2 linked regions of the Canis lupus familiaris genome follow. The protein of the gene in region 2 interacts with the protein of the main gene of each other region in a biochemical or structural test. Links are inferred from orthologs where the notes say so. Each region holds a gene or a part of one and is shown on either strand. Other genes may lie near its edges.

Region 1 (4,982 bases), on a different chromosome or scaffold from region 2:
ACTTCTTTCATCCACAGTGAATTCCCAGGACTGGTACGTTTAGTTAAATTAACATCAGTAGTAGCCAACGGTTCCTAAGTACCCTTTAATAAACAGATACAAAGCACTGGACCTACCACCTCTTACACCCACTCTTCAGGTTCTATTCCAAGAGCTGGTCAGAAAGAGGAGCAGCAAGCCCTCGAGTAACACCCCACAAAGTTGGCATGAGACACAGCAGGAAAAGGCATAATGGGGTCCCTGGGGCCTGGGATGGCCCTGCTCCAGAGCCCGCGGGGGGTCAGGTGGGCTGCCGGGCTTGGCCCACCCTGGATCCGGTGCATTCTGCAGCCATGCTGACACAGAGGTCAGCCCGCCCAGGATACCGATGAGCAGCCCAGGACTGCAAACAAGGAGCGTCAACAGAAAAACATGAATTTAAGTTTGAGAGCCGTAAAAATAACCCCAAATTAGGTGTTAAATGCTCTACGTGCCTGAAAGAATAGATTACTCCAGTTAAGTAAAATAACTGCATGCCATTAATCAAACCTGGAGGACGCGCAACACTTTCTAAAGCGCTGGCAGAGGCAGGCTGCTCATAGAAAGCATTCTTGGGACAGCGTGCGGCGGAGAAGACACGGCACTCGAACACACATGTCTCCAAGCAGCAGGCAGGCAAGTGTGCGTACGCGGGACGTGGCCCACGTGCCCGCTCTTCTCCCAGCGAAGCCAGGAGGAGAGCCACTCACACCCACACCCGAGTGATGGTGGCGCTCCATGGTCAGGAAGCGACAACCCACATGCATCCCAAACGAGGGTGAGGACTGGGACTACAGACGTCCAAGAAAAGGCTACACGGGGCTCCTTCACGGGAATGGGGGGCAGGGGGCCGGGCCAGCAAGTCGGGAGGGCCGAGGTGATATGGCGGCCGGGGCTCTAGGACTCTTCACCCATCTGGAGCAGGGAGTTGATGGCTGCGTCCCTGTCCCCTCTCTGGGCTTCCAGCACGGAGCGGATCACCTCCCGGTCCATGTTGGGGAACATGTCCTGGATGGCTTTGAGATCCTCCTCACTGCAGCGGGGCTGGGTGCTCACGGCGGCTGGGGGCAGGGCCACGGGCACCACACCGGGGCTGCACACTGCAGGCACACCTGCAACCACAAGACGCGGTTTAGGGAACACATGATGGGACTGGCACCCACGCCAAGCTCGTCTTTGGAGCAAAGACGTGTGCCCCTGGCCCACAGCCTCCACGCACATCCCCATTTCCTACAGCTTTCCTCCCCAGCAGGTTTATACCACGCACTCAGAGCTAGGACAGGCTGCTTGCGCTGTGGTCCCTTCAAAGTTCCGGATGATACCATACCAGATGCCAATTTTCACGGACCCAAGACCACAAAGCAATTCTGTCAGAGAACAGAATGGCACAGGGGACAGAAGCTAGACATCAGGTGGCGACTATGGTACAGGCAGGGCACCAGGTGGATCCCTCTGATGCCAACAAGCACGTGAAGCCCGAGAGCGAGGCACACACCCAGGAGCACGTTCCATCCTGGGTCAAGGTGGTGAGGTGCTGAGAGCCCAACTTTCCAGTCAACTATCTGCAGAATGGGTGGGAACATGGGGCAGGACAGCAGCATGAGGGCTTTCCCACACTGGGCGGCACTGTCAGCATCTGGTGGGCACTGCCGTCCTTCACACACTGGCTCCACGGCCCCCTCCCCTCCTGGGAACTGCTTCAGCGCACAGATCCCACAGTGCAAGAGAACTGGGGGGAGGCTCTCAACCCACCCCAGGGTTATCTCTCCCGTGGGACTCCCACCTGTTAGGGGGCAGCAGCTGCAGGCAGCACCCCTCCTGCGGAAGCAGGGTCCACAGACGCATGCATACACCCCTCACATCACACATATGCACACAGGTGCCACACACGCATACACACCAATGCTGTAGATCACACATGTACACACATGTATGCACACACCTCACATCACACGTGTGCACATGCATGCCAAGCACATGCATACCAATGCTGTAGATCACACGTGCACACATGTGCCACACACACATGCATACCAATGACGCAGACCTATGTGCACACACATACATGCACGCACACCTTGACAAGATCATGGAAATAAGTTATTCACACCAAAGAAGATTCTGAAGCAGCACAAACTTCACACAAACACAGGCAGCTGGCACAAGTTCCTGTCTGTAGGAAACACACAGGAGCCAGTGGGCAGCTTGGCCTCAAGAGATCCAGGCAAAAGCTCCTTCCTCTCCTTGGTCACTTCCTGCGAGTAGCTGACTATTCCAAAGCTTACAAACATGCATCAAAAGAGAAGTTCAAAGTCTCCATTTATACAGAAGTCTGGCCTTTCCCAGAATAAACCTCTTAAGACAAACCTCAAAGACTCACAAAGAAAACTATGGAACCAGAAAAACACATCTCATCTCCCGAGAACATGGACTTTCCGTTAACCAAACACGTCCTCGTGCTGCTGATCCTGTAGCTCAAATGTGCCCCTCAGAAAGATGTGTGAGGCGCCAGCCTGGGCACGTGTGAGCGAGACCTTATCTGGAAGGTGGGTGAGAGCCAGGTTGTCCTGAGCAAAGTCTTGATTAGATGGGCACCTCAGATGCTGGCACAGACACCCAGGAGGGGCCATGGGGTCATGGGGCGGAGGCTGCAGCAGGAAGGGTCTGGAAGGGCCCCACCCACACCCTGAGTTTAGACTTTGGCCTCCAGAATGGAGAGCAGAGATTTCTGCTGTGTGAAGCAGAGGTGCCTCCATGGGCCTTTGTTCCGGCTGCCCCAGGACACTCACTACCTTTGGAGAGCCCCCGAAGGCACCTGTTCCTCCTCAAACCTCTAACATGGGAGTGAGACAATGTCACACAGAGCCTGAAACTGCTGCCGTGAAGGGGCAAGGAAGGACAAGATCCTCGGGCAGACATCAGCACAGAGCAGAGACCCCCAAGGCCAGCCGCAGCCGCTCCAGCAGCACGAGCCGCTCTCCCCACTCGTGGTGCTCTCCTGGGGCACGAACGTCCCCTTGGCTTTCTGAGGAGTTTCTGCATCTCTACAGAGACTCCTTCTTCTCACTTGGTAAGACGTTCTCTAGAAACTCATCCTGGCTGTTCCACAGCTCTTTGATCACCAAGGCCATTTCCCATCAGCTGGTTCTGACCCAACCAGGGCTTACACTTCCCCGCAGTTCTCCCCAAAAGTCTGGAACCGGTGTGAACACCTCAGAGGTAGATGCAGCCTCCCAGCTCTGTGCCCGTCCTTGCTGGGCTGTGTTTAGGCTCCGTCAGGGTGAAAGTAAGCCTGAGGCAACACCCCGGTCCTGCACCAGCCACAACTGCACAATAACGAGACCTCTCTTCTCTGGGTGGGCGGAAACCCCAGGGCGCCCCATGCCACCCCAGCCCCGCGCGCCAGTGTCCTGCCCCAGTCCAGCCCCTTTGGTACGATGCGACCACAGCACCATGCTGCGACCCAGCTCCCTATACGACACCGCCTCTGGCAGAGAGCACGGTAACTCAGGGCTCCGCTGCCTCCCTTCTCTCGGGGATCACAGTCCTGCAAGGCCTGCTTGCTGAGCCCGAACAAGCTGCCGCTTCATCTGTTATGCCCAGTTTTATGGCTGTTTGCAGCAGGGAACAGTGGAATCCAGTTACCATCACAGACAGAGCAGAAGCGAACCAATGGCTGGTGTTAATATTTGAAAATTCAAAAGCATGAAAGCAATCCAACTGGATTTTACTAGGCTGCCACAAAGTGTTACTTTACAAAGACGAATAAACACAACAGGAACATCAGGGCTCACAGCTCACTTCGCCCCATAGTGCAGGATCTTTCGAGACAGTAACTCACACACTAACGTGTTCAGAGATTACACTTCTCCACCTCCATAAAAGTTCAACTTGCCAACAGTCTGGGGAAAAATATTCTATATCCTACAGACACATAAAAAACTCAAGCTTCAGACCAGACCCCTTGCGTTTGGAAAGGTCCTCATGAGTCACATCCAGACCTAAGCCTCCGCACGGCACTCCAAGCCCCTGAGGACAGTGCTGGGGATGGGGAGTGGCACGCACCTGTGATGGGCACGTAGCCTACGCCTTGCTGGTACACGGTGGGCATCAGGACCACAGGCTGAGGCGGCATCATGACGGTGGCTGGCAGCGACTGGAATACACCAAATATAATCACGGGGTCATAGGAGTGCACAGCACACACCGAAACGGACATCCTGACACCGTCTTGGTGGAAGGCCCGGGTGAGCCACGGCTGCCTGACATAGGGTCAGACGGGAACGTTCCCCAGGAAGCAAATGAGCACTTTCAGGACCTGAAAGCACTTTCCTGACAGCCTCTAACACACTATTCACTCAGTTACTACAGTTGGGGTTACGTGCTCCTGTGAAAGCATTTGCCGTATAATGAATGAAATGTTTATGAGTAAAGTCACACGGAGCTAGGACTTGTTTTCCAACAGTCAGGCTGGGAACCTCCTTGAGGCAGAGTTAAAACAGGGACACCACCACCACCTCGGTGACACAAAGGTCCCAGACCCCACCTGCCCCAAGAGCAGTGGGCCGCGGACATGGAGCCGCACAAGGCAGGGGACCTACGGGCCAGCATCTGCTCCCTTACACTCTGCGTGGTCCTGAGACCTCTGACCACTACATGGAGGACCTGCTCTGGCCATGAGGAAGCCTGTACACCGAGGAATAGACCCCCACACCATGCTGCTCCTCCCACTAGATTGCCTGACGCCCGCGGGCCAAGGTCCCAGTCCCTCAGGGACAAATGGCTGCGCTGAGCTGAGGCTGCCCTCTGCCTGCCCTCCGGCCCCAGCCCTCACCGTGTAGGACATGAGCAGGTTGATCATGCCCTCCTTGTCATCACCCTGCCGGCCACTCAGGCTGTACCACTCGTCCTCCACCTTGCCCTGCTTCAGGGACTCGGGAATGGTGACGTGGGTCCAGGCAATG
Region 2 (5,619 bases):
GTGTTGGCAAATCCACATATTTCCATTTCTTATTTAAGAACTATACAGTATTCTGTTTGCATGAAATTGATATGATTTCACTCCCTGTTTGAGAGTATGGGTGTTGTTTCTGCTTTCACCATGAAGGATACAACCTGTGGCTGTTTAATTCTTGTCAATATATCCAAGATCTTCTGCCCATAATCACTTTAAACCAGAGTGGTGCAAGGAGGTAAGAACTTCATTCAGGGAAATAACCACGAAACATGAGCATGTTAAAGGTTGCTAATGGAAGAATTCAAAAGAAGTTTATGCTAAAATACAACTGCAATGTGCTTAAATGAAGAAAAACATGGAAGATACCTGACATGGAAGTCATCTTAAATGTACATCCTCCCACCCCTTTATAGTCCAAATACATTATTTGGTAGGTTGATTTAAATTTTCAGGGGAGGGACGCCTGGGTGACTCAGCGGTTGAGCATCTGCCTTTGGCCCAGGGCATGATCCTGGATCCCGGGATCGAGTCCCACATCGGGCTCCTTGCATGGAGCCTGCTTCTCCTCCTTCTGCCTGTGTCTCTGCCTCAATCTCTGTGTCTCTCATGAATAAATAAATAAAATATTTTAAAATAAATAAATTTTCAGGGGAAACTGGATGACTCATTCAGTTAAGCCTCTGACATCAGCTCAGGTCATGATCTCAGGATCCTGGGATCCAGCCCTGCTGGGGTGGGGGAAAGGACTCTGCTTGTGGTTCTCCCTCTGCCTCTCCCCCTGCTCACTTTCTCTCTCAAATAAAATCTCTAAAAATAAATAAGTTTTCATATATTAGTCACTGTGCTAGACAATGATGGTGAGTCAAGTAGACATAGTATCCCAGCCCTCACGGAGTAGCTAGCCTGGTGAGGAGAAGGGCATTTATGAATAGGTCTCATGAGCACTGTTGAAGCACAGGAGTACATGACTTCCATAAAGTTCTTATATTGTACAGTAAAGGTATCAGCCCCTGTATGCTCAAACAGGTCAACATAAGGAAGTGATTAACTTCTAGCTTAGGTTCTCCATCATCCTATATTTGTACAATTCCTAGCCTTTCCAATTGGGGACACCTGGGTGATTCAATGGTTGAGCATCTGCCTTCAGCTCAGGGTGTGATCCTGGGGTCCTGGGGTCTGTCTCCCCACCGTGAGCCTGCCTCTCCTGCCTATGTCTCTGATAAATAAATAAATAAAATCTTTTATTTTTTTTAAATCACATACTGTGGTGGATTAAGTACTAAAGCTCCCAGCAGTAGCCCAGACTACCAAAGCAGTGATTATTGTATCTAGACTGCATATGACCAAAAGAATAAAGCATAATAGGTCCGACCTGATCTAATGTGTGGGTGAAATATCTAAAACATGGTACACAGGAAGGTTGGAAGATAGCAGAATCCTAGAACTAGGAAAGGCCTTTGAGATTCTTAAAGTCCGTAACTTGGGGTCCACTGACTTCTGGGACCCTAGGAAGTCCCTGACGTTAAATTGTCTCTCTGCCCTTTTTTCTTCAGAAAGGTTGATGGTTTTCTTCAAGTCCTCAAAGGAGCCTATGACCTAAAAAAAAAAAAGAGAGAAGAAGAAAGTCCTTGATCTAGTTCCAGCATCCGGAAAAAATGGAAGCTCGCTGTGTGAATCACAGCCGAGGTGGGTCCCAGGCCCACCCGTGACCACCTCCGGGTGCCTCTGCTACTCCGGGCTCCAGCCCGCTCCTCGCTGCGGGTCACTGGGCTGGTTCTGTGTCCAGGGAGGAAGCGCTCTGTCGGGGCTGGGAGACGACGAGCCAGAGATGCTGTCGCCGCCGGCGGTGGGGGCGTGGCCTAGCGACGTCACCGGCGTGAAACCGGGTCTGAGCTTGCCCTGTGACCCTACCCCAGGCACTTCCCGGCTCCGAGACCCTGTTCCGCTGAAGCTCGCGGTGCTGGGCCACGCCCCTGAATAAGGCCTGGGGCGGGGCTTGGAGAGGCCACGCCCCTGGCCCGCCCAGCCCCACGTCGTGCGTGACGTCCGCAGACGCCGAGCGAGTTGCCGTGAGGTCATCGCCCTCCGCCCGGCTCGAGGGGCGAGGCCTGTGGCCTTCACGTCAGGGGCGGGGCCTGTGGCCACGCTCGCCTCCCTACGCCCCGCCTCCACAGGCGCCTCCTCGCGGGCCGTCCGGCGCGTCACGTGACGGGTCGGCAGCGCGGCGGTTGCCGTCAGCTGATTCCCCCGGTTGGCGGCTGAGGCGCCCGCAGCGATGGACTTTCTCCTGGGAAACCCGTTCAGCTCTCCGGTGGGCCAGCGCATCGGTGAGTCCCCGGAGCGCCGCCTCGCCCCGCCGCAGGGCCCCGCACCCAGCCTCGGTCCCCGGGGGGCCCCGGGGCGCCTCCAGGTCCCAAGCCACCCTCTGGAGGGAGGCTGGGAGAACTAGGCTGGCGTGTCTCTCCCCGACCTGGCCCCGCCCAGCCTCCCGCCCACCTTGATTGACAAAAGCCGCGCTCCACTAGGAAGCCTCGCCTTGTGGTGGATGCCTAGGCTAGCCAATAGCAAAAGAAAGGGGGCGGGTCCTGGTGGCCGCGGCTCAGCCAATGCGTGGCTGCTGGGGTCCCGAATCCGGGGAGAAAGTTTCGGGGGCTGAAGGGGCAGCGTGGTTTACGGCCCTCGGGCCACTGGCCCGTCTCCCTCGTCCCTTCCGCAGCCCGGGTCCGGCCGCCGGGGCCTGGCCGTCTCCCTCTTGGCTCGCCAGGCTCTCGGGACACAGGTACCGGAGAGGGGCTAGAAGCCCATTCGCCCAGGATCCGGAGACGCGCTTGGCGTCGGGGCCGGCGACTTGCGGGGACCAGGCCCGGCAGCCCTGCTGCGCGCGGCCCCCGGCCGGACCCTGGCGATCCCGCCAGACCAGCAGCAGCCGGCGGCACGGTCGCAGGCTCCCGAGCTGGAAGCGACCTCAGGAACCTCCTGATTCCGCCTCCTTCGTTTCTCGTAGGCGGGTGGGCCAGGCACTCTGGCCGGAGGCACAGGCTCACTCCGAGCCCCGGCCTCCCGACTCTTCCTGCCCTCTGTTGACATCGCCGCCTCTGTTTCCTCCTCACCTATAATTAGGGGCATATTAATAGCCCCTGCTTCCGTGGGGTTGTTGTGAAGCTTCAGCTCCTTAATAATTGTAAAGTACTGGGAACCGTGCCTGGCACATGGCCCTGCTAATATAAAACAAAGTGATAATATATATTTATCGTCATTGTTAGGGAGATGCCAGGAAGTGAGGGTCAGGAATCCCTGGAAATAGCTGTGTGGAGAGTCTCCTAGGTGCTCCTTGCTGTGCATCAGCACGGGGAGGAACCACAGGCCCTGGGCCACACCGCTAACACTTCCCCTTTGGGACAGCCTGGATGTGCCTCCCCGCATTAGGAAACTGTGATATTCTCCCTTCGACCTCTTGATGGCCCTTAGCGTTCAGTCTAGACTGGGAAAATTGGACCTTTTAGACATTTTTTCCTTTCTTATGGTCTTGGAAGCCAAACTTCACTTAACTGTCAACCCAGCTCTGCGATGTCATCGGCACCAAGGCTGTCAGTGGCTCTTGTGAGGTTTTGTAATCAGACTTCTCCAAGAGGAGAGTAGAAGTCCAGGATTAATTTGCGAACCAGAGCGCTCCTGGACCAGGGAGGTGAAGCTGCCCTCTGAGGAACACCCTCCCCACTGCCTGCCACACACACACCCTGCAATGAGTCATTGTTTTGGAGCTGAAAAGAGAAAGTGGCTCTCCCCTCATCTTTATTTCTCCAACAACAGATACCACTGCTCTCATCACATGCCAAGTTTGAGACTTCCTACTTTAAAACAAAAAATTCTGACCTTCAAAGTCAGCCACGTTTGCTGAACCTTTGTAGAAAAGCTCACCTGGGCTCTGGGCTTTAGCTAGTCAAAAAAAAACAGCTTCTCTTCCTATCCTGAGGGTTGCCTGTCTGTGGCAAGAAATACTCTGTCCAAAGAGAATACTACTAAGTCATAATACTTCAGAGCCCAAACCAAATTTTACTCCTGGAAGGATCCTTACCCTGGGGGTCTTCTAACTCAGGGTTCTCATCGGAATTCCCTGGAAGACTTGTTAAAGACAGATGGCTGACTGGGCCCCACCCCAAGAGTTTCTGACTCTGTAGGTCTGGAGTTTGCCCAAGAATATGCATTACTGACAAATTCCCAGGTGATGCTAATGCCACTGGATTGGAAACCACATGTTGAAAACTTCCATTCTGGCCCATCCCCTTCATTTTACACAGGAGAAGACAGAGGCTGGAGAAAAGGTGGAGACTCTGACTCACCCAGGCCCCCAGTGAATTGGTAGTGAAGTGTGATGAACTCCCCAGAACCAATGAAATTTGAACCAAAGCTGAAGAGGCTCTCAAAGTAGAATTAAATGAAGAATAGCTGCCATTTGAGCAAATGCCTTCAGTATTCCATGTTTTCTCTTTTAGAGAAAGAGATTGCCTGTGATTATTGACGACCTAGTAGTTCTGTAAACTATAGTAGTAAAATAATCTCAAGGTTGCCAACTCCACCCCCCTATTGTGAGTAGGGCCCTGTAGAATTGGCATCCCTGAGCACAGCGAGTTCCAGTGGTACTTATCAGGGATGTCACTCAACTCATAAAGCTCTCATCCACCCTCATACCCAAGCACTTTCGTGGAATGCCTGCTCCAGTGTGCATCCTTCAAAGCTCAGACATTGTCACCTCCTCCCTGAGGCCTTCCCTGACCCCCTTCCTGACCCCTTCAGATCCAGCTGTTGCTTTCATGCTCTTCCATCATCCCCATTCCTCAGGCTTCTTCATTCTCTGCCTTTGGGCTCTGAACCTCTATTTCCTCCTGGGTGGAATGGTGGCTACAAGAGCATCTGCCTCTCCGGGTTGGGTGGTAGTGAGAGTGAAGCGAGGACCACCCCCCCACCCCGCCCCGCCCCGGGAGTGCCTGGCACATTGTGAGTGAATTAGCTCTTGCTGTCCTCATCATTGTTTCTATTATTTCCACCATCGCACACTAATGGAGCCCTGTCCCATTCTGTTAGTAGTTGCACATATGTGTCTCCCCAGCTAAACTAGACTTCCTAAGAGCAGGGACTGGACCTTACTGGTCAGGACCCTTGGCACCTGGCATGGTTGCTAGCCCATAGTAGGAGGGAAGAAAGGGGAAAAAGAAAGTGACCTCCTGTGAGCAAATACCATGTGCCAGGGACCATGCTGGTACCCTGGTTATTAATATCCACGGTGACCCTATAAGGTTTTGCTGTTTTTTCCATTTTACCAGAAGTGTGAGAGAACATATCATCTCACAGCTACTCGGGGTCAGAATCCGGACCCAGGTTTCTCTGGCCCAGAGCACCCATCCTCTCCTACCCCTCACCACCCTGTATCTGGCTGATCAGTGCATACTTGGGATTTATGTTAGTCCCGCCTTCCAAGAGCCACAGATTAGCTTTGCTGATTATGGTATACACGTGAGTCTGTGCACATTGCCAGGTCACTCAGCCTTATCGTTCAGTAGGAGAGCTTCCCAAGAGCAGCAGCCTGTGGCTGAAAGGGTTCCAGATAATTAGCACTAGATGGTGTTGACAGAGCCCTCTTCTTGC

What was found.
Region 1: the proteins of TOM1 (region 2) and TOLLIP form a complex in vitro, tested with the Homo sapiens proteins (3 studies listed by BioGRID and IntAct, with this or other methods). The link is inferred for Canis lupus familiaris from reciprocal best matches to the Homo sapiens genes TOM1 and TOLLIP.

The regions. Positions count from the first base shown.
Region 1 is NC_049239.1:46,009,010-46,013,991, forward strand, and holds part of TOLLIP (toll-interacting protein), read right to left. Parts: coding exon 4,853-4,982; intron 4,175-4,852; coding exon 4,084-4,174; intron 1,131-4,083; coding exon 916-1,130; 3' UTR 1-915. UniProt on the Homo sapiens protein: Component of the signaling pathway of IL-1 and Toll-like receptors. Inhibits cell activation by microbial products. Recruits IRAK1 to the IL-1 receptor complex. Inhibits IRAK1 phosphorylation and kinase activity.
Region 2 is NC_049231.1:29,817,862-29,823,480, reverse strand, and holds the start of TOM1 (target of Myb protein 1), read left to right. Parts: upstream 1-2,144; 5' UTR 2,145-2,251; coding exon 2,252-2,303; intron 2,304-5,619.